4 linked regions of the Oryctolagus cuniculus genome follow. The protein of the gene in region 1 interacts with the protein of each later gene in a pairwise test. Links are inferred from orthologs where the notes say so. Each region holds a gene or a part of one and is shown in the gene's direction. Other genes may lie near its edges.

Evidence for each region. The genes of interacting proteins can lie anywhere in the genome.
Region 2: the proteins of HOMEZ (region 1) and MAD2L1BP interact in binary tests that used the Homo sapiens proteins (3 or more experiments, as listed by UniProt). The two-hybrid records come from large-scale screens. The link is inferred for Oryctolagus cuniculus from reciprocal best matches to the Homo sapiens genes HOMEZ and MAD2L1BP.
Region 3: the proteins of HOMEZ (region 1) and SNRPB2 interact in binary tests that used the Homo sapiens proteins (3 or more experiments, as listed by UniProt). The two-hybrid records come from large-scale screens. The link is inferred for Oryctolagus cuniculus from reciprocal best matches to the Homo sapiens genes HOMEZ and SNRPB2.
Region 4: the proteins of HOMEZ (region 1) and PRKAA2 interact in binary tests that used the Homo sapiens proteins (3 or more experiments, as listed by UniProt). The two-hybrid records come from large-scale screens. The link is inferred for Oryctolagus cuniculus from reciprocal best matches to the Homo sapiens genes HOMEZ and PRKAA2.

Annotation. Positions count from the first base shown.
Region 1 is NC_091443.1:51,743,848-51,749,119, forward strand, and holds the start of HOMEZ (homeobox and leucine zipper protein Homez), read left to right. Parts: upstream 1-1,825; 5' UTR 1,826-1,860; coding exon 1,861-1,975; intron 1,976-5,272. UniProt on the Homo sapiens protein: May function as a transcriptional regulator.
Region 2 is NC_091436.1:126,439,740-126,444,432, reverse strand, and holds the start of MAD2L1BP (MAD2L1-binding protein), read left to right. Parts: upstream 1-1,746; 5' UTR 1,747-1,842; coding exon 1,843-1,888; intron 1,889-2,246; coding exon 2,247-2,512; intron 2,513-3,908; coding exon 3,909-4,421; 3' UTR 4,422-4,693. UniProt on the Homo sapiens protein: May function to silence the spindle checkpoint and allow mitosis to proceed through anaphase by binding MAD2L1 after it has become dissociated from the MAD2L1-CDC20 complex.
Region 3 is NC_091442.1:41,759,925-41,764,646, forward strand, and holds the start of SNRPB2 (U2 small nuclear ribonucleoprotein B''), read left to right. Parts: upstream 1-1,775; 5' UTR 1,776-1,926; exon of another isoform or gene 1,927-1,999; intron 2,000-3,615; 5' UTR 3,616-3,640; coding exon 3,641-3,704; intron 3,705-4,448; coding exon 4,449-4,621; intron 4,622-4,722. UniProt on the Homo sapiens protein: Involved in pre-mRNA splicing as component of the spliceosome. Associated with sn-RNP U2, where it contributes to the binding of stem loop IV of U2 snRNA.
Region 4 is NC_091438.1:116,548,132-116,553,162, reverse strand, and holds the start of PRKAA2 (5'-AMP-activated protein kinase catalytic subunit alpha-2), read left to right. Parts: upstream 1-2,084; 5' UTR 2,085-2,735; coding exon 2,736-2,829; intron 2,830-5,031. UniProt on the Homo sapiens protein: Catalytic subunit of AMP-activated protein kinase (AMPK), an energy sensor protein kinase that plays a key role in regulating cellular energy metabolism.

The DNA of each region.
Region 1 (5,272 bases):
TTGAAATAAAGTTGAAATATGAAAACAAAGTACATCATAAAACACTCAGAAGTATTCTTTGTTTGGGGCTGAGGGTGGCAAGAAGTCTAGATGCAAGATTCCCTTCCTAAACCCTCACTCCTCTTTCTCTCTCTCTCTTTCTTTCTTTTTCTCTTTCTTTCTCTCTTTCTCTCTCTCTCTCTCTTTCTCTCTCTCTCTCTTTCTCTCTTTCTTTCCTTCTTTCTTTCTTTCTCTCTTTCCTTTCCTTCTTTCCTTCTCTCTCTTCTCTCTCTTTCTCTTTCTCTCTCTCTCTCTCTTTCTTTCCTTCTTTCTTTCTCTCTTTCTCTTTCCTTCTTTCCTTCTCTCTCTCTCTTTCTCTCTTTCTCTCTCTTTCTCTCTTTCTCTCTCTTTCTTTCCTTCTTTCTTTCTCTCTTTCTCTTTCTTTCCTTCTCTCTCTCTTTCCTTCTCTCTCTCTTTCTTTCTCTTTCTCTTTCTTTCTCTCTCTCTCTTTCCTTCTTTCCTTCTTTCTTTCCTTCCTTCCTTCCTTCCTTCCTTCCTTCCTTCCTTCCTTCCTTCCTTCTCCTTCCTTCCTTCCTTCCTTCCTTCCTTCCTTCCTTCCTTCCTTCCTTCCTTGAGAGACAGCTCCTGTCCATTGGTTCACTCCTCAAATCTCCACAATAGCCAAGGTTGGCCCAGGCTGAAGCCAGGAACTGAGAACCTAATCCAGGTCTCCCACATGGAGGGTGAGGACCTAGCTACTTGAGCCATCCACTGCTGTTTCCCACAGTGCTCATTAGCTGGAATCTGGAGCAAAGCCAGGACCTGAACCTAGCACTCCAGTATGGGATGTGGTCGTCCCAAGCAGCGTCGACCACTAAGACAAATGCTAGCCTGGTCATTTCCTAAAAGTCCTGCTCCGGGGCTGCTGGCATATCGCAGCAGGTTAATCTACTGCCTGTGATGCCATCATCCCCTATGAGCACCAGTCTGAGTCCCGCCTACTCCACTTCTAATCCAGGTCCCTGCTAATACACCTGGGAAAGCAGCCAAAGATGGCCCAAATGTTTGGGTCTGTGCCACCCCCATGGAAGACTTGGATGGAGTTCCAGATTCCTGTCTAGTCTGGGCCAGCCCAGGCCATTGAAGCCATTTGGAGAGTGAACCAGCAGATGGAAGATCTCTCTCTCTTTTTTTTCTCTTCTCTGTGTAACTCTGCTTTTCAAATAAATAAATCTTAAAAAGTCCTATTCCTTTTCTGCTGGAGTCCTCTGGCTGTTTGGAAGTTGCATGGAAGAAGACCACGGGAGAGATGGGCAGCCATGGTTTAAGACACCACAACAGGATCCCTCCACCCTTTTGGGTAGTGGGAGCATAGTCAGGGCCTGGCTCTTCAGTTCCCTGGCACCCAGCACCAGCTGTTGGTGTTGTTAAAGGAACAGTCTGGGAAAACTGTTTCTGCTTTTCACAGGGGATTCTTCCTCTTTTAGGGGGTCATCTCGTTACTTTCTGCTCTTGAGTAGTGGAGGGAAGAACAATGCCCTTCCCTAATAAGGGGTTACCCTAAAACAAAGGGTAAGACAGCTAACGGAGGGGAAAGGAAGGCAAGACCTCTGTGGAATCCAGAATGGAGGGATAGAAATAGATAACAGAGGGAGTCCTTGAAAGAGCAAGTTCTCACAGGATTGGCTCCCACATCACCTGAGTGATGAGAGAATCCAATTACCACAAAGTAATGAGGTGACAGCATTCCTAGGAGGCAAGCCCCAAGCACGGAATGCCTGATAGCTCCTCCTTACATCACAAAGGCCGACCTGTGACGTCATCGCTGCCCAGCCCACCGCTCTTCAGTGTGCTCTAAGAGTGCTGAAGGGCAGGGTCAGCATGAGGAGCAAACACCCACGGAGAGGTAAGGCGGGGCTTTCCAGGGCTTCTCTCCACGGCTTCCTGCCTGGAGTCGGAGCCCCAAGCCCTGCACAGACTCCTCACGTCTTCTGGGGTAGGTTTGAGCTCCTCCTGCCACAAACTCCTTCCGCGTTAACTTTCGCTCTCCCAACTCTGTCTCCAAGCCTCAGTACTCGCAGGTCTGAGTAGTCGGCCGCCTCACTGCCTGCGGCTCTGGTCTTTCTAGGAGACAGGGCACGAGCACTGGAGCAGAGTTCCCCTAAGGAGGCAGAGACTCACCATGGCCATCTGGTAGTCCTAGGCTGGAGCCAGGCTTCTGGGTACCTGAAGTATGCAACTTTTGGAGCCCCTTTAAGAAAATTAAATACAAAATTATGATATTTTCAGAATGACAAATTACAATTTTTTAAAAAGCTGCCAAATATCTGCCTAAAATTATTCATATTTCCACTTTTTTTGCCAACAGCCTTTGATAGCCTTTTCGTATAATGATTGTATGTTTTCTATGAGTCTTCTAACATGATCACTTTTGTATTGTTAATTTTAAAAAATTTTGCCCCCATGCCTTGTGATACTTTCATAAATGTTTAGAATTTTTGTCAAACTTGGTAAAACCACTATAAAATTTTGGAGCTTTTCGAATTTGTAATGGCTAATGTCATATATTCTGAATTGATAGTATCAAGAATAATGGGAACTAGCCGGCGCCGCAGCTCACTAGGCTAATCCTCCGCCTGTGGCACCGGCACACTGGGTTCTAGTCCTGGTCAGGGCGCCGGATTCTGTCCCGGTTGCCCCTCTTCCAGGCCAGCTCTCTGCTGTGGCCAGGGAGTGCAATGGAGGATGGCCCAAGTGCTTGGGCCCTGCACCCCATGGGAGACCAGGAGAAGCACCTGGCTCCTGGCTTTGGATCAGCGTGGTGCGCCGGCCGCAGCGGCCACTGGAGGGTGAACCAACGGCAAAAGGAAGACCTTTCTCTCTGTCTCTCTCTCACTGTCCACTCTGCCTGTCAAAAAAAAAAAAAAAAAAAAAAAGAATAATGGGAACTATAAATATTAGTTTGGGGGCAGGCACATTTGTAGCACAGTGCTTAGGATGCTGCTTGGGGCACCTGCAACTTGTATGGGAGTGCTTGGTTCAAGTCCTGACTCTGCTTCCAATACAACTTCTCACTGATGCACACTCTGGGTAGCAGCAGTGGTGGTTCAGGTGCTTGGATCCTTGCCACCCACATGGGAAACCTGGATTGAGTTCTGTGCTCCTGGTCTCAGCTTGATCTCTGCCTTTCAAATAAAAAATGGAAATAAACATACAGGCAGGCATTTGGCTCAGAAGTTAAGTCAGCAGCCGAGACACTCCCGTCTTGCATCAGAGTGCTTGTTTGGAGTCCCAGCTCCTCTAGGCTCCTCCATCCCTGATCCAGCTTCCTGCTAATGCACACACTAGGAGGCAGCGGGTGATGGCTCAAGTCCTTGGTTGCCTGCCAGCCTAGATTGAGTTCTGGGCTCCCGGCTTTGGCCTAGCCCAGTGCTGGCTATTGAGGCATTTCAGGAGTGTTCCAGCAGAGGGAAGATCTCTCTTTCTGACTTTCAAATAAAATGGCAGTAAATACACATTTTTAAAACATATAAGTAATTTAATTTTTCAGGGCTGCCATACAAAAATAGCAGAGACTGGGTGTGTGCTAAATTTGTTTTCTCAGTCCTGGAGACTAGAGGTCCAAGACAAGGGCACTGGCTGAGCTGACTGCATCCTGAGGCTTCTGTCCTTGATTGTAGAAGGCTGTCTGCTCATGGTCTTCCCTCTGCCTGTGCATCACAAGTCTGTGCCCAGATTTCCTCGTGGAAGGTCAGCAGTCACACTGTGTTAGGACCCACCCTAATTCATCCATCTCAGCTGAACTTAATCACCTCGAGAAACAACCTAACTCCACACGAAGCTACGTTCTGAGGTACTGGGGGACAGGACATTAACCCTAAGTTTGGGAGGACACAGTTTAATCCATAACACTGTATCCACCTGGGGATAATTGATTCTATTCACAGAAGTAACTGCAAAACCCATCAAGTATACCTACTAACCCCACAGTACACGTGATCCCTCCTCAGCTCCCTCAGCCAGTCTCCAAGTGCCCATCACCTCTCTGTGGACACCTGAGAAAGGGACATGTGACAGAGGTCAAGTCAAGAAGGAGATACCAGTCAATTCCAGTTTGGGGTGTTTTTTTTTTCCCCAAGTTTTAGAAAAACCTGTGACGATGTTGGCGTGTTGCTGCAGCTCCTCCAGTGGTGAAGGTCTGTGACAGGGAGGACGCTGCACCTGCAGGGCCTCCAGCTGTAGGGCGAGCGTGCCTCTGGTCAGCCCTGCTAATGTCTGAGCCGTGCAAAGGGCAGATGACAGGCATCACATTCTCCAGTGTTAGTCCCTGGAAGGGCTGGCAGGGGACTGTCCTGCAAAACATGGGACTCTCACCATCAGCCGAGGCTTCTCCCCCTCACCCCGGCCCACCCCAGTCCACTCCACATTCACCAGTGGTGAGGGACCTTTTTTTTCTGCCAAGAGCCATTTGGAGATATATATATACACACACACATATACATGTATACATATATACATATATATATATATAAACATCATTTGTGGGCCATGCAAAAGTACCAACTTAAAAATTAGCCTGCGGGCCGGCGCCGCAGCTTACTAGGCTAATCCTCCGCCTTGCAGCGCTGGCACACCAGGTTCTAGTCCCGGTCGGGGTGCCGGATTCTGTCCCAGTTGCCCCTCTTCCAAGCCAGCTCTCTGCTATGGCCCGGGAGTGCAGTGGAGGATGGCCCAAGTACTTGGGTCCTGCACCCCATGGGAGACCAGGATAAGTACCTGGCTCCTGCCATCGGATCAGCGCAGTGCGCGGGCCGCAGCGTAACAGCCGCAGCGGCCATTGGAGGGTGAACCAACGGTAAAGGAAGACCTTTCTCTCTGTCTCTCTTTCTCACTGTCCACTCTGCCTGTCAAAAAAAAAAAAAAAATTAGCCTGCTATCAGTTTGAATTTCCAGTCTCTACTGCGATTGCCTTGGTGGGGCCTGACCAAATGATGTTGAGGACCGTACATGGCCTGTGGGCCAGACATTCTCCACCCGTCTAGACCTACATAGAGTTCAACTCACATAGAGGGTTCAGCCTGTACTTTAGAACTAAGGCAGGGGAGTTTCTTCTATCATCCTTGGAGTACCCCCCCCCCATAAACTTGAATGCTACCTCCACCCCTGACTGTTGGGAGCGAGTGTCCCAACACTCGCTGGAATCACCCACCTTTTGTAATTCCAAGTCCAGGATCAGCACTGCCCAGAGTGACTTAGCAAACCACAGGCTCATGGGCTTAGTTCCCACAGACAG
Region 2 (4,693 bases), on another chromosome or scaffold:
TCCTCCACTGCACTCCCACGCCAGAGCGGAGAGCTGGACAGGAAGAGGAGCAACCGGGACAGAATCCGGCGCCCCGACTGGGACTAGAACCCAGTGTGCCTAGTGAGCCACGGTGCCAGCCCAATTCTATCTTTCAAATAAATAAATATATTTTTTAAAAAGTGGGGGAGGGGCCGGCAGAGAGAGAATCCTTCCATCCACTGGTTAACTCTCCAAATGGCAGCAGTGGACCAATCCGAAGCCAGGAGCTGGGAGCCAGAAGCTTCTTCAGGGTTTCCCATGTGGGTGCAAGGGCCCAAGGACTTGGGCCATCTTCTACCGCTTCCCCAGGCCATAGTCGAGAGCTGGATCAGAAGTGGAGCAGCCAGGACTCAAACATACCCCTATGGGCTGCTGGCTTAACCCACCTTGCCCAACTTACTCTGCAGCCTCCCAGAGTGATCCTATCCACTCCCATACTAATGGCTGTCTGTCCCAAATGGTGTTTCTAAATGTCTCTATTCACTGTCCTGTGGTGACACTGAACCCAGCCCATCAAAAGCAGGTTTCATCTTTTCTTCTCACCTCCTAGTAGATCTGGTCCTCGTTTATTGCTCCATCTTTCATCGAATGGAGCGCCTAGTAATTCAGTTGCTGGAGTCACAACCCTGCTGGTTTTTCTTTTTTATAGACTGACTGATTGATTGGTTTATCAGAGTTACAGACAGAGAGGGAGAGGCAGAAGAGATCTTCCAAGTACTGGTTCATTCCCCAAACTGCTGCAACAGCCTGGACTAGGCCAGGCCGAAGCCAGGAGCCTCTTCCAGGTCTCCCACGTGGGTGCAGGGGCCCAAGCACTTGGGCCATCTTGGGCCATGCACATTAGCAGGGAGCTGGATCAGAAGCGGAGCATCCAGGATTTGAACCGGTGCCCATATATGATACGGCACTGCAGACAGTGGCTTAACCCACCGCACTATAACGCCAGCCTGGACAGTCTGTTTCCTCGGATCAACTACTAATTTATGCTCATTGGGCCCCTTTGTATCTCCAGGACTCACCCAGTTCTCTCCCTCCCCTGCCACTACCCTGGTTCCGTTCTGTCTCAGCACTACCTCGAACTAGAACCCCTGTCCCTGTCTTTTATCCTCCCTGTAATCCAACTTCTACAGTGCAGCCAGCAGGGAGATTAAACGGGAAAGATGTGAACATAATCATGTCACTTCCCCTACTTATAAACAGCTTCCCTACCTCCCTACGGGGGATCGAGTTCAAAGCCTATCAAAGCTTAGAAGATCCTGTCATGATCCTGTCTCCTCCACGCCCCAGCGCTTTAGGAATTCTTCATTCCTTGAACAGGGGATGATGTTCTTGTCTCTTGGGGTCTCCTCTTTACCTTGCTAACTGACAAGGTCACAACATCTTCACACATTTCTTCTGGAACCACGTACCCCTGCCCCAACCCGCTCTGGGTTAGGCGCCCCAGTTCTTCCCTCCCCCAGCCCTTGTATACCCCACTGTATCAACGCATCCCATTGCACTGTACGCATAGGCAGTGCCCCCCTCGACGGCAGGGCCCGCGCCGGGCTTGTCCCCGGCGGAGCCTCCAGCACCGAGGACAGGGCCCGGCGTGAAGAAAGTAATGAACCCAAGAATGAATGGCTGCTAGAGGGCGGGTGGCCGCGAGCGCCTGGGCTCGCGGTAGCCGGAGGGCTAAGGGTGCCAGCGCGGGCTCCACCCCCGACCCCGCCCCAGGGCGGTGGCGCCGCGCCCCCTTCCGGCCGAGCCGGAAGTGGAGAGGGCTTCCCATGACGCTCCGCGGGCCGATCATTCTAACGCACGGAGCTGAGGGAGGAGGTCGCGATGGCGGCCCCGGAGCCGGAAATCCCGTCGCCGGCCGCAGGCACTGGTAAGGCATGGGGGCCCGGGCTTGCGGCTCCTCGGGGCCCTGTTTCTTCCCTACTGCCGTCCTGTCCTATCACCGCGCCTCTGGTCCTTCTGGTTCCGAGCTCCGGGTTCGTCCGCTCTCCGATGAGACTGCGCCTCGCCCTCTTTTCCCTGGGTCAGGAGCCCGATTTCTGAGTAGAGCCTCAGTCACTGACCGGGAATCTCTCTCGTATCGGCCACTTAGTCATGTACGGCCGCGGGGGTCAGGAATCCCGCACGTACGCACTAGGGTATCTGCGGCGTCGGGGTGTGCGTGGTGGCCGCAGGGAATGCGAAGCCCGACCCTGGCTTGTGTCTCATTTCCCTCTCTTGTGTCCTAGATCTGGAGTGGTTTGACCAGTCGGAAGAAATTCACGGCTCCCCGGTGGAACTGCCGGAGACTGCCTCTGCCCCCGAGGCTCCCGGCTCTGCGGAGCACTGCTGCCCGAGAGACTGCATGGTGCCGGTGGTGTTTCCCGGGCCGGTGAGCCGGGAAGGCTGCTGCCGCTTTACTTGTGAACTGCTCAAGCACATCATGTACCAGCGCCAGCAGCTGCCTCTGCCCTACGAACAGCTGAAGCACTTCTACCGAAAACCTTCTCCCCAGGTAGGCACGGGCTACGGGGGGGAGACGTCGCGGCTCTTGCCTGGCGAGCAGGTGGAACGGGGATCCGAGCCATCTGCAGGGACAGTCGGCGGCGCTGGCTCCGCGCTCGCGTCTTCAGCGGGGTGACCCTCTCTGGTTTTTTCCCTCTTGCTGTCTTCTCCCGAAACCCCTATTAAGTGTTGCTTTTGGACTCGAAGAGTTGAGCCTTTACATTTTAGTTTCTTTTCTCCAAATTTTCATGTTTGGTTTTTCCTTGATGGGGGAGTTCTTTGACTTTATATTCCAACACCAATACAACTTATTCTTTTTTTTTGGCAATCATTGTTAAGAGTTCTTAACTTTCGCATATGCTCTTTGCTCTTTTTCCCCCCAAAATGAGTTTATTTTGCTCTCATATATATATACATATATATATACATATATATATATACACATACATACATACATATATACCCCAGCAAAAATTGACTGCTTTGTGGCATGCCACCAAATTTCCTTGGCTATCTTAGCTTCTTATATCTGGCCGCTCTCTTGGCTGTTGGAAGGGTGGGAGAACTATGGCACAAAGAGTAGATTTCACTTTTTGCTGTGATGTTGATAAAGCCCAGTGATGTGGCGATGACATTCATTGAGCTAGACGTTCAGTCTTTTTAAGATTTATTTATTTACTTGAGAAACAGAGTTAAGAGAGAGAGGGAGAGAGAGAGAAAGGTCTTTCATCTGTTTCACTTCCCAAATGGCTGCAAGAGCTGGAGCTAGGCTGATCGGAGCCAGGAGCCAGGAGCTTCTTCTGGGGCTCCCATGTGGGTGCTGGGGGCCCAAGCTCTTGAGCCATTTTCTATTGCTTTCCCAGGCCATCAGCAGGGAGCCAAATCAGAAGTGGAGCTCCTGGGACCAGAACTGGTACCCATATGAGATGCCAGCTCCGGAGGCAGATGCTTAACCTAGTATGCCACAGTGCCGCCGCCCCCGCCCCCCACTTTTTTTTTTTTTTAAGATTTATTTATTTATTTGAAAGTCAGCATTACACAGAGAGAAAAGGAGAGGCAGAGAGAGAGAGGGGTTTTCCATCTGATGGTTCACTCCCCAGTGGGCCGCAACAGCTGGAGCTGAGCTGATCCAAATCCAGGAGCCAGGAGCTTCTTCCAGGTCTCCCACTTGGGTGTAGGGGCCCAAGCACTTGGGCTATCCTCCACTGCTTTCCCAGGCCACAGCAGAGAGCTGGATCAGAAGAGGAGCAGCTGGGACTAGAACCGGCACCCATTTAGGATGCCGGTGCTTCAAGCCAGGGCATTAACCCACTGCACCACAGCGCCATCGCCCCTCACAGGGTTCTTTAAAAGGCATTAGCTTCCCCTACCTTGTCTCTCTGTCTCACCAAGCTTTGTTGTCACAGGCAGAAGACGTGGTGAGGAAGAAGCCGCGGACGGCTGCCGAGGCCAGCAGCAGGAAATGCCAACAAGCCCTGGCGGAACTGGAGAGTGTCTTCAGTCACCTGGAGGGCCTCTTTGCCCGAACCCTGGTACCACGAGTGCTGATCCTCCTTGGGGGCAGTGCCCTAAGCCCCAAGGAGTTCTACGAACTTGACCTGTCCCGGCTGGCTCCCTACAGTGTGGACCAGAGCCTGAATACAGCAGCCTGTTTGCGCCGGCTCTTCCGGGCCATTTTCCTGGCTGACGCCTTTAGCGAGCTGCAGGCCCCACCGCTCATGGGCACCATCGTCATGGCTCAGGGGCACCGTGACTGTGGAGAAGATTGGTTTCGACCCAAGCTCAACTACCGCGTGCCCAGCCGCGGCCACAAACTGACCGTGAGCCTGTCCTGCGGCAGGCCTTCCGACCCAACAGTGGCTTCGGACGATTACATCTGGTTCCAGGCCCCAGTGACGCTGAAAGGCTTCCACGAGTGACGGAGGACGCTTCCTCATCCTGGAAACGGATGGCCGAATGGCCCGGCTCCCTTCGGCACCGAGCCACCCGACTCTCGCTTGGAGCTGGCGTTGCTTCCCGGTGAGAGGGGAAGGCACTGTCCTGGCTGCCTCCCCTCCTCACACTTCCGGGGGGCTGACGGTGTGTGGCTAGGACCATGGTAATCATCCCTGAGCTACAGCTTGTTGAATCAAAGGTTGCTTTTCCCAGAGGGTGCTGGGTCAGGTGTTTCTGTTTGGGCTTGCAGAGCAAA
Region 3 (4,722 bases), on another chromosome or scaffold:
ATATTTGTTTTGTTTTATATTTTATATTTGTTTATCATTTAGTTTGCTAAGGTACACTCAAAATTTTAAAAAATATTTATCTATTTGAAAGATAGACAGATCTTCCATCCACTGATTTACTTCCAAAATGGCTACAGTCTCCAGGGCTGCACTAGGAGGAAGCCCAAGCATTGGAGCCATCATCTGCTTTCTTCCAGGGTGCATCAGCAGGAAGCTGGATGGGAAGAGGAGCAGCCATGACTCCAACCAGCACACTGATAGGGCATCCGGGTTTCCCAAGAAGTGGTTGAATCTGCTGCATCACAATACCTGCCCCCACAAATAAAGTGAGACAGGACACGTTTCTTCTAGAATTTCTATATATATCATAAGGGAATGCTTTCCAGTGATCATGTAACCTTATTTCCTACACCACTGTGCATCTTAATAAGATATCACACTTGTTTCAGTGTTGCCTTACTTTCCATGAGGCTTCATTCATTTATTCACGCAATGCATATTTACTGAATACAAGGGACTCTTTTAATTACTGAAGGTTTTTAAATGAACAAAACAGACAAAAATCCCCACCTTCAAAGTACTTACATTATTTTTAAGTTGTTGCAACTTTATGTTGACTCTTAAAATAAAACTCCTCAGGTGATAAAATCAAACTATTTGGCCCCTACCACCTTCATCCATACCTCCAAGTCATAGTTAGAGTCTAGAGGTAACATTTAGGAACCAGTGACTTTGTGTAATGTTCTAATCATTTTACAGAGCACCCATTTAGTCCCCAGAGTGATAAGAAGGTACTATTAAGATTCCTGTTACATAGGCAAGGAAAGAGAAAGAGAGATTTAGTTAAGAGGAAGACACAAGGTTAGATTTACTTTGGCTTCTTTAAAAAAATTTTTTTGACTTATTTATTTGCAAAGCAGAGAGAGACAGAGCTCTTTCATCCACTGATTCACTCACCAACTGGCCACAAGGCCGGGGGCTGGGCCAGGCTGAAGCTAGGAGTCTGGAACTCCATTCTGGTCTCCCAGGTGGCTTGCAGAGCCCCAAGTACCTGAGCCCTCAGCTGCTGCCTCCCAGGACAGGATGCATCCGCAGGAAGCCGGATCAGGAGCAGAGCAGCCTGGACACAAATACGGGACGCTGGAGCCCCACGCAACGTCCCAAGCCATGGGGCCCTTTGCTTTGACTCCTAAAGCCTTCCTATTCCAGGTGGCTCTTAGCACGTCTCAGATGACGGATGAACGAATGACCAAATGCACGGTTTTGAATTTCCATTCACTAACACCTTAAGTTATCTCCAGAAAAATCTAAGCATCTGCGGGGAGTGCAGTGAGAAGGGTGTCGGGAACTCAAGTGTTTTGTGGTGTTTTGAGTGAGTTTAGGTAGATGTTAAAGGCACACCCCACTCAGTCTCTGCTCCAGGGCCTCCGACTCCAGCTCTGCCTCTCAGAGTTAAGCTCATCAGCAGAGTGTTGAGGAGCTACCTCAGAACCCCTGGCAGCAGTATAGGCTGTCCTAAAGGTGAGGCTGACCCATAGAAGGGGTGAAACCAGCAGGAGGGGCTGCGCCCGCAAACCTCACATAGGATTCAGAAAGGTAGAGGGAACTGCTATGTGAGTTAAAACCTCCCTCAGTCTTAGTGGGGGTAAATGAACCACTCTTTTTTATTACCTCACAGCATGGCCCCAGGGTTCTATCCAGTTCTCTCAACCCTCTTCCGTTTTCCCGGGCCCTCTTTCAGCAGAGCACGTAGGCGCATGCGCAGAGAGTTCCCCAGCTTGGGGCCGCGGGAGACCGGGAGGCATCGATCGACTCGGCGCTGGGCTTCTCGACTTGTCGGCGCTCGATTGAGGAGTTTCATTGTCACTTCCGCCTTCGGCACCGTTTCCGGCTTCCGGTTGCTCGTGGGAACGGCGTAGTCCTCTGGTGAGTCGGATTCCCGTTTTCCTCGGTTTTGCGGTTCTTCACGCTGCTCAGCCCGAACAGTACGAGGCGCGAGGTGTGGTCGGGTGGCGTCTCGCCTTGGTTTTGTGGAGGGGTCGGTTTGAGACGAGGGAGCGGCCATGCAGGGGAGCTTAGCAGCGGCGCGCGTCTCTGGCGGGACTGGCGCGGTCCTTGGATCGCGGCGTGGCCCCGGGGCAGAGAGTCTGTGTCTGGAGAGGCAGGAAGCTGGCGCGTACAGAGTACGCCCGTTAATGCGAGGCGTGGGAGATTCCAGGTGGTTTCCTGCGGATCTGTTGTTTCTGTTTTGGCGGAGGGGAGAGGTGCGACACCAGGTGCCCTGCTCTGATTAGCCCAGCACCGAGCTTCTTGGTCTCTTGTTCTCCTCGCCTTCACTTTAATCTCTCTCGCTCCCTTCTCATGGTCAAAACTTGGCGACCCCCTGCTCCTCTTCCAGGTTTCGACTGGGGAAATGTCGAGTCTTTAAGAAACGTTTCTATTCATCTGCCACCTGCACAAGTACATCGGTCTATAGGCTCCTCCCTCGCTGTGTGTAAACACAGCAAGCAGTGTTTAGTACCTAATTATCTGTGGGCCATCCAGGGAAGTAAAGCAAGGTCACACTTGGCAACTTAAAAACCACGTGAAGTGTGGAAATCGTCCAGTGGGTTGCAAGGACGGAATTCCCAGGCCTTCTGATCAAGAGCTGTGTGACCTCAAGCGTGCTCCCTGACTTGTAACAGCCATGATATTAGCTCCTTTGGGGGCTTCTGATGCAAGAGCTGTGCTAGAACTTCGGGGGCTCTGGCCAGCCCCGCCCCCACCTCAGCCCCGTCTGACAGATGAAGACCTGAGAGATTAAGGTCTTTGCCAAGTCTGTTAGAGGTCATCCTGGAGTGAAGATGGCAGGTGGAAATTTATGCACAGTGATTGATAGATATGGAAGTGCTTTGTAAGTGCACCCAGGAACAAACTACATTGATGTTCTGTCTTAACGATTTGTTCTGGATTGTACACTTGGTAGTTTCTTTTTCATTTTTCTTTATGTCAAAATTTTTAAACCAGCTTACAAATACAAGTTACTTCATTAGGCAGATGGGAAGTAGCACAAGTGAAAGGAAAGTATAAAAATGTATTGAATACAATTTTATTAAACTCTGGCAAGCTGCTGTTGTTTCACTAAATTTTGAGCTTGAGAATTGTAAAAATGAGGGCTTGCGGTTTGCATCTGATGTAGCAGTTAAGATGTCTGCCCCATGTCAGAGTGCCTGGGCTTGAGTTCCGGCTCTCGCTCCTGACTCCGGCTTCCGCTAATGCAGACCTGAGAGACAGCAGTGGTGGCTCAAGTGATTGGGTTCTTGCACACACGTGGGACACCTGGATTGAGGAGCCTCTAGCTTCACTTGACCTCAGTCGAGCTGGGCCACAGCTGGGCATTTGGGACGTGAAGCAGAGCTTTGGAGCTCATTGTCTGCCTCTGGCTGTGTGTGCGTTTGCCTCTCAAACAGAAATACAGAGGAGGACTAGCTATTGCTGGAGAGAGAGTCTATGACCCAACTGACATTCTGACATAGCGATTGAAAGAAAACGGAAAAGCCAACAGCTTTCTGCTGTATTGATTTAATCACACCTGTTTGTAACAGTTTTTTTTTTTTTTTTTTATCCTCTCTTTAGGCTATTTGAACATTTTAACTCAGACATGGATATCAGACCAAATCATACAATTTATATTAATAATATGAATGACAAAATTAAAAAAGAAGGTAAGTGTTTTTAAAAATACTTATTGATAACTAAAATGTGTTTGTTTACTACCATCTTACAAAATTGTACTACACCCAAACTCATTTTTCTTACCTCCAGTAATAAATTTTTTTTTTTTTTTTTTTTTGACAGGCATAGTGGACAGTGAGAGAGAGAGAGACAGAGAGAAAGGTCTTCCTTTTGCCGTTGGTTCACCCTCCAATGGCCGCCGCGGCCGGCGCATCACGCTGATCCAATGGCAGGAGCCAGGAGCCAGGTGCTTTTCCTGGTCTCCCATGGGGTGCAGGGCCCAAGCACCTGGGCCATCCTCTACTGCACTCCCTGGCCACAGCAGAGGGCTGGCCTGGAAGAGGGGCAACCGGGACAGAATCTGGCTCCCTGACTGGGACTAGAACCCGGTGTGCCGGCGCCCCAAGGCGGAGGATTAGCCTAGTGAGCCGCGGTGCCGGCCTCCAGTAATAAATTTATAAAGTTTGTGTAAGGATTTCCAGGCTTTTTAAAAACAAAAATAGGTAGTGACTGACAACATGCTGAATCTGTTCTTACTCATAGCTACTCATATAATGGTTTCAAATAACTTTTTACGTTAGATAACCAATGGGAATAGCAATTTGTGTTTTTACTTACATATATAACTACTAACTGTATAAATAAATGGTGACAGAGCACTCAATGTACTGTCATTTAATGAAGAATTTTCTCATTCCTTCGTTCACAAGTTATTTCCCCTCTTATTTGGACAGAATTGAAGAGATCCCTGTATGCCCTATTTTCTCAGTTTGGCCATGTGGTAGATATTGTGGCTTTAAAGACCATGAAGATGAGAGGGCAGGCCTTTGTTATTTTTAAGGAACTGGGCTCATCCACAAATGCTTTGAGACAGTTACAAGGATTTCCATTTTATGGTAAACCAATGGTAAGCCAGTACTGTTACTTTTGCTTTAATCACTATGAATGTTTCGTAGATTTGTAAATATATGCTTGAAACTGTGGTTTTTGCTTTCACTTTTAATTAAG
Region 4 (5,031 bases), on another chromosome or scaffold:
TTTTTTTTTTTTTTTGTAAAGGTAGCTGTGGTATAACAGAAAAAGACAAGTTAGAACTAGATGTGAGTTTGTCTCTGCTTCTCTGCTGCTTAGCTTTTAGCCTTGGGCAAATCAGAAAGGAAAAACTAGTTTTATCATCTATAAAATGGGGATAATAAGTTTCTTTTATGAGAAGTAAATAATTGTGTTTAAAACAACTTCTTAGCCAACAAAATATCATATATGTTTGGTATAAAGTTACAAGGTTGTTCATAGTAGCAGTGTAAAAATCGTAGTTATGCAGTACATAACAATTCAACTGGTAATTATTAATGGTTAGTTAAGGCAGTGTAAAGTACTTTAAGAATCTCAATGTATGGTCTCTTTGTACCAAGTTTCAAGAAACTAACTTCAGTAAAGAGTTTTCAACATGTTTGAAATGGATGTTAGAATGAAAGACAGAAACAGCTCAAAAGCTGAACAGGAATTTTGTTCTCTTGCTCACCTGAATGAACACTGAAGGACGGAAGGAGTGACCCTGAACCAAATGAAAGTTCAGCATTAAAAATGACTGGTTGTGCTCTCAAAATTGCCAGCTAGGTAGTGTGATTCTTAAATGATACTTCTTGTCAGCAAGAAAGATGATCCGAAGAATGAACGAAAATAGCCTCTGTGTAACAGGTGCGATATCTGTAATTTATAAGTGGTGTTCATCTCTCATCAGATTGTCTTGGTGTCTAGCCAAGAATGAATAGATGCCATTTGTATATTTACTACTTTTCAGAAAGCAAAAAAAAAAAAAAATTTCACAACCTAGTCTTTCTGATCAATATATTCTTTACATGTAAGCAGTATAACAGACTTCAAGCTTGAGGAATGTGACCTTGAAACTCCACTAGCAAGCACAGTGCTAAAAGCATCTCACTAATTTTTAACAATTCATCTTCAAATAGCAAATAATCTTAAAATTAATCTTTAAAAATTTTACATCATTGAAAAATGAAAATTTTACACACATCAGATGCAACATGTTGTTTTGAAATGTATATAATAGTGGAATGGCTACATCAAGCCAGTAACACATGCATTAGTCATAATAGCTGTTTTTGTGGTGAGAAACAAATAATTATAGTAATAATTTTGAAAGATAGGACAACATTGAAGAATAGGATACTATTAAACAAAGGAAGGAAAGAGGGGAAGGAATGAAGAGATGGAAGAGATCAGCACTTCACCTAGTTCTTTCTCTCTCTCTTTTTTTCTTTCTTTTTAATATTCCCTCCCCAGGCAGGGGTGGTGGTGGTGGTGGGGGAGGAATCATGATTCTCATTTCCTCTTACCATTTTTTTCTACTTATCATACTTTAAATTGTGTCTTTATACTGTCCTTGCTTTTCACAATTCCTTTGTCCTTCATGTACAAGGGTACTTTAAATGTTCGTGGAACAATGAAATTAAAAGGCAAGCTTATTTTGGTGCCAAAGACTTTGAAATCCATGCACAGTTTTTCATCATACACATTTTCATGAACTTGATGAAGACCGCTCATTCACGTGTTTTTCAAAGTAAACATTTCAATTAAATTTATCTTCCATGGGGTTAAAAATTAATTTGAAAGAGAGAGGGAGAGGGAAAAGGAGAGGGAGAGGGAGAGAGAGAGAGAGGGAGAGGGAGGGAGGGAGGGAGAGAGAGAGAGAGAGAGATCTCATCTGCTGATTCACTCTCCAAATTTCCACAAAGGCCAGAGCTGGGCCAGGGCCAGGAGGGGAGCTGGGAATTCAGTCCAGGTCTCCCACGTGAGTGGCAGGGTCCCAAGGGTCTGAGTTATCCTGCGGCCTCCCTGGGTCTGCATCAGCAAGAAGCTGGAGTCAGGAGCGGTGGCCGGCTATGGGGCGCCGTGTCCCTCCAAGAACTTTTTGGAACACCTTTGTAATTTACTTCCTGTGCACTCACCATTCCTTCCTGGGCAGCTCTGTCACATATCATTTCCCTACTGTGTATGTATATAGGCAGGCGATCAAACACCCGAGCTAACACGGCGACGGGGATTTACTGGAAGCTGCACATCGGTTACAGCTGAGATCTCTCTTCCATCTAAGGACAAAGCAAGTGAGAATGATGAAGTAGGCAGAGGAGGACAAGTGAGGAGAGCACCGCTGTGAGTGCTCCAATAGCTGGATCAGAAACAGCCGAGACCCCGGCAACTTCCCCGGGGCGCTCCCCCGACTGCCCTTTGCACCGGCCCCTGGCCTCCGCCTCCCAGCCCACATCGCGGTTTGGGGCTTTGGGCCTGTTTCTCTTCAAATTCGACTTCCACCTCTTTCCATTCCCTCAGATCGGATCCAGGTCTCACCCCCACAGTCCCATTCTCTCGGCTCTCCCTCAGAGAGCGCCCCCAGCCACCCTCGCCCTCGGGTCGCCGCCGCCGCCCGCCCTCTCAGCACCTGCCGCCCGCCGACCCTCGCTGCCATCCGCGCACCTGGCTGGGCCCCGCCCTCTCTCCCAGCCTGCGCCCCGCGCCCTCAGCGCGGCCGCCGCCGCCTCCGGCTCCGCCACAGGCGTCGGTCACGCCGGGCCGCGGCTCCCCGCTCCGGACTCGGTCGCGCCCTCTCCCGGGACCCCGGCCGCCGGCGCCCGCGCCCCTCGTCGCCTGCGGCCCGCCCCCCGCGGGTCCCGCTGCACTGTGGGTAGGCGGCGGCGGCGGCGGCGGCGTCCGCGCTGAGGGGCCGCGGCGGAGCGAGGCCGCGCGAGCCGAAGATGGCTGAGAAGCAGAAGCATGACGGGCGGGTGAAGATCGGTCACTACGTTCTGGGGGACACGCTGGGCGTCGGCACCTTCGGCAAAGTGAAGAGTTGAGTACGCGCCGAGGCCGCAGCCGCTCGGGGCTGCGGGGCTGGCGGGTGGCTGGGCCGGGCCGAGCAGCGAACCGGCGCAGGGCCCCGCGGCAGGTGGCGCGGCTCCGGGCAGCTGAGAACGTGGACCCCGCGCGGGCGGCGGGCAGCGCCTCGCCCAGCAGCGGCGCCCCGGCCTGGCAGGCGGGGCTGGGGGCGAGCGCTAGAGAGTGGGCTGGGGGACAGGGGTCCTGGGCTCCAGGTCCAACGCCTGTCATCTGGGCGGTGGTCGGGGCCAGGTGCTTCCCTGCTGGCGTCCCCTTCTGCACAGCTGGGAGGTTGTAGCATACCCGTCAGGTGCCCTCCAGCTCGGACACCGTGTGGGGAGAGCTGGGCAGTACTGCAGGCTACCCGTAGATGATGATTGAGTTGCCGTTTGGTGCCCGGCGCCCTATCAGGGGCGTTACGTGTGATTTCTTTAAATCCGTACTTGGTCCAGCTGTGACCCTCACCTTGCAGGGGAAGCAAACTGGAACCCCTAAGGGTTGAGTAGCATGCCCAAGGTCACACTGAAATTGGCAGCGCGGGATGAAGTCTAAGATGTCCTCCGGTTCTAGCCTTGCTCAGAGGTCCCTGCTACCCCCAGATTCTGTGATGTTGTAGCACTCTGGGTTGGCAGGGCCTCCTGTTAAGCGGACGCCCAGTGGGCCGGCGAGGGTGGGCCTGGGAAACGCTGGAATGCCGCTGGGTGGGCTCCGATAATTAGACCTAGGAGGGCTCGAGGTTGATTGGTTTGAGTGCAGGGGCTCCAGGAAGCCTCTGGGATGATGGAGAGAGATAAAGGTATTGGTGTTGGAGAAGGGCTGAGGTCGGAACTGCTAAGAAATTTTTGCTGAGGTCTGTTTTCTTGGAGATGCAATTACACTTAGGGTGTAGAAAAATAGCCTGCTTTTGAAAGTTTATACTTCTTATTAGTTAAGTAATTAGTAAGAAGAACTAGTTAGGCATTGAACTTTGCTGGGGGTGGGGGGATGGACACACACACACACACACACACACACACACCTTCTTCCATCCACTGGTTCATTTCCCAAATTCAGGAGCTAGAATCTTCATCCAGGTTTCCCACCTGGGTGGAAGGGACCCAAGTACTTGAGCCATAACCTGCTGCCTTCCCAGCTCATTAGCAGGAGGCTGAGTCAGAAGTGGAGGAACTGGGACTCCAATCCCAGGCACTCCAGTATGGGATTTACAGGTCCCAAGTGGTGGATTAAGCAGCTGAGCCCTCTTCCTTTTCCATTTTGTTCATAAGAGTTATATGAGATTTAGTAATCATGTCCTCTCTCCATAATTGGAGCCAGTTTATTTATTTATGTATTTATTTATTTTTAACTTTTATTTAATTAATATAAATTTCCAAAGTACAGCTTATGGATTACAGTGGCTTCCCCCCCTCCATAACTTCCCTCCCACCCACAACCCTCCCCTTTCCCACTCCCTCTCCCCTTCCATTCACATCAAGATTCATTTTCAATTCTCTTTATATACAGATCAGTTTAGCATATATTAAGTAAAGATTTCAACAGTTTGCACCCACATAGAAACACAAAGTGAAAAATACTGTTTAAGTACTAGCTATAGCATTAAATCACAATGTGCAGCACATTAAGGACAGAGATCCTACATGAGGAGTAAGTGCACAGTGACTCCTGTTGTTGACTTAACAAATTGACACTCTTGTTTATGGCCTCAGTAATCACCCTAGGCTCTTGTCATGAGTTGCCAAGGCTATGGAAGCCTTTTGAGTTCACCAACTCTGATCATATTTAGACAAGGTCGTAGTCAGAGTGGAAGTTCTCTCCTCCCTTCAGAGAAAGGTACCAATTGGAGCCAGTTTATTAAAAGTACTTTGTTGCAAATCCAGAAGTGTAAGGACAATGTTGTTTTTTGTTTTGTTTTCTTTTTGCTGAAGACATCTGGGTAGGCTGGAAATTCTACTCTGCTGTCTCTGTTTCATTGTAGACTTCATGTTTTAACCTCAAGTAAATGTAGAAGAGACTCATTGTTCGTTCTTGTGGCAAGATCAGTGGGAATTTTCTTCCACATATCTGATACCCATTCATTTGTTGAGAAAACACTGAGAACCTGCAGTGTGGTAGGCACTGTGGTAGGCCATGGTGACTCAGGTAGGAACAAAATCAAATCTTTTATGAGGCTTACAT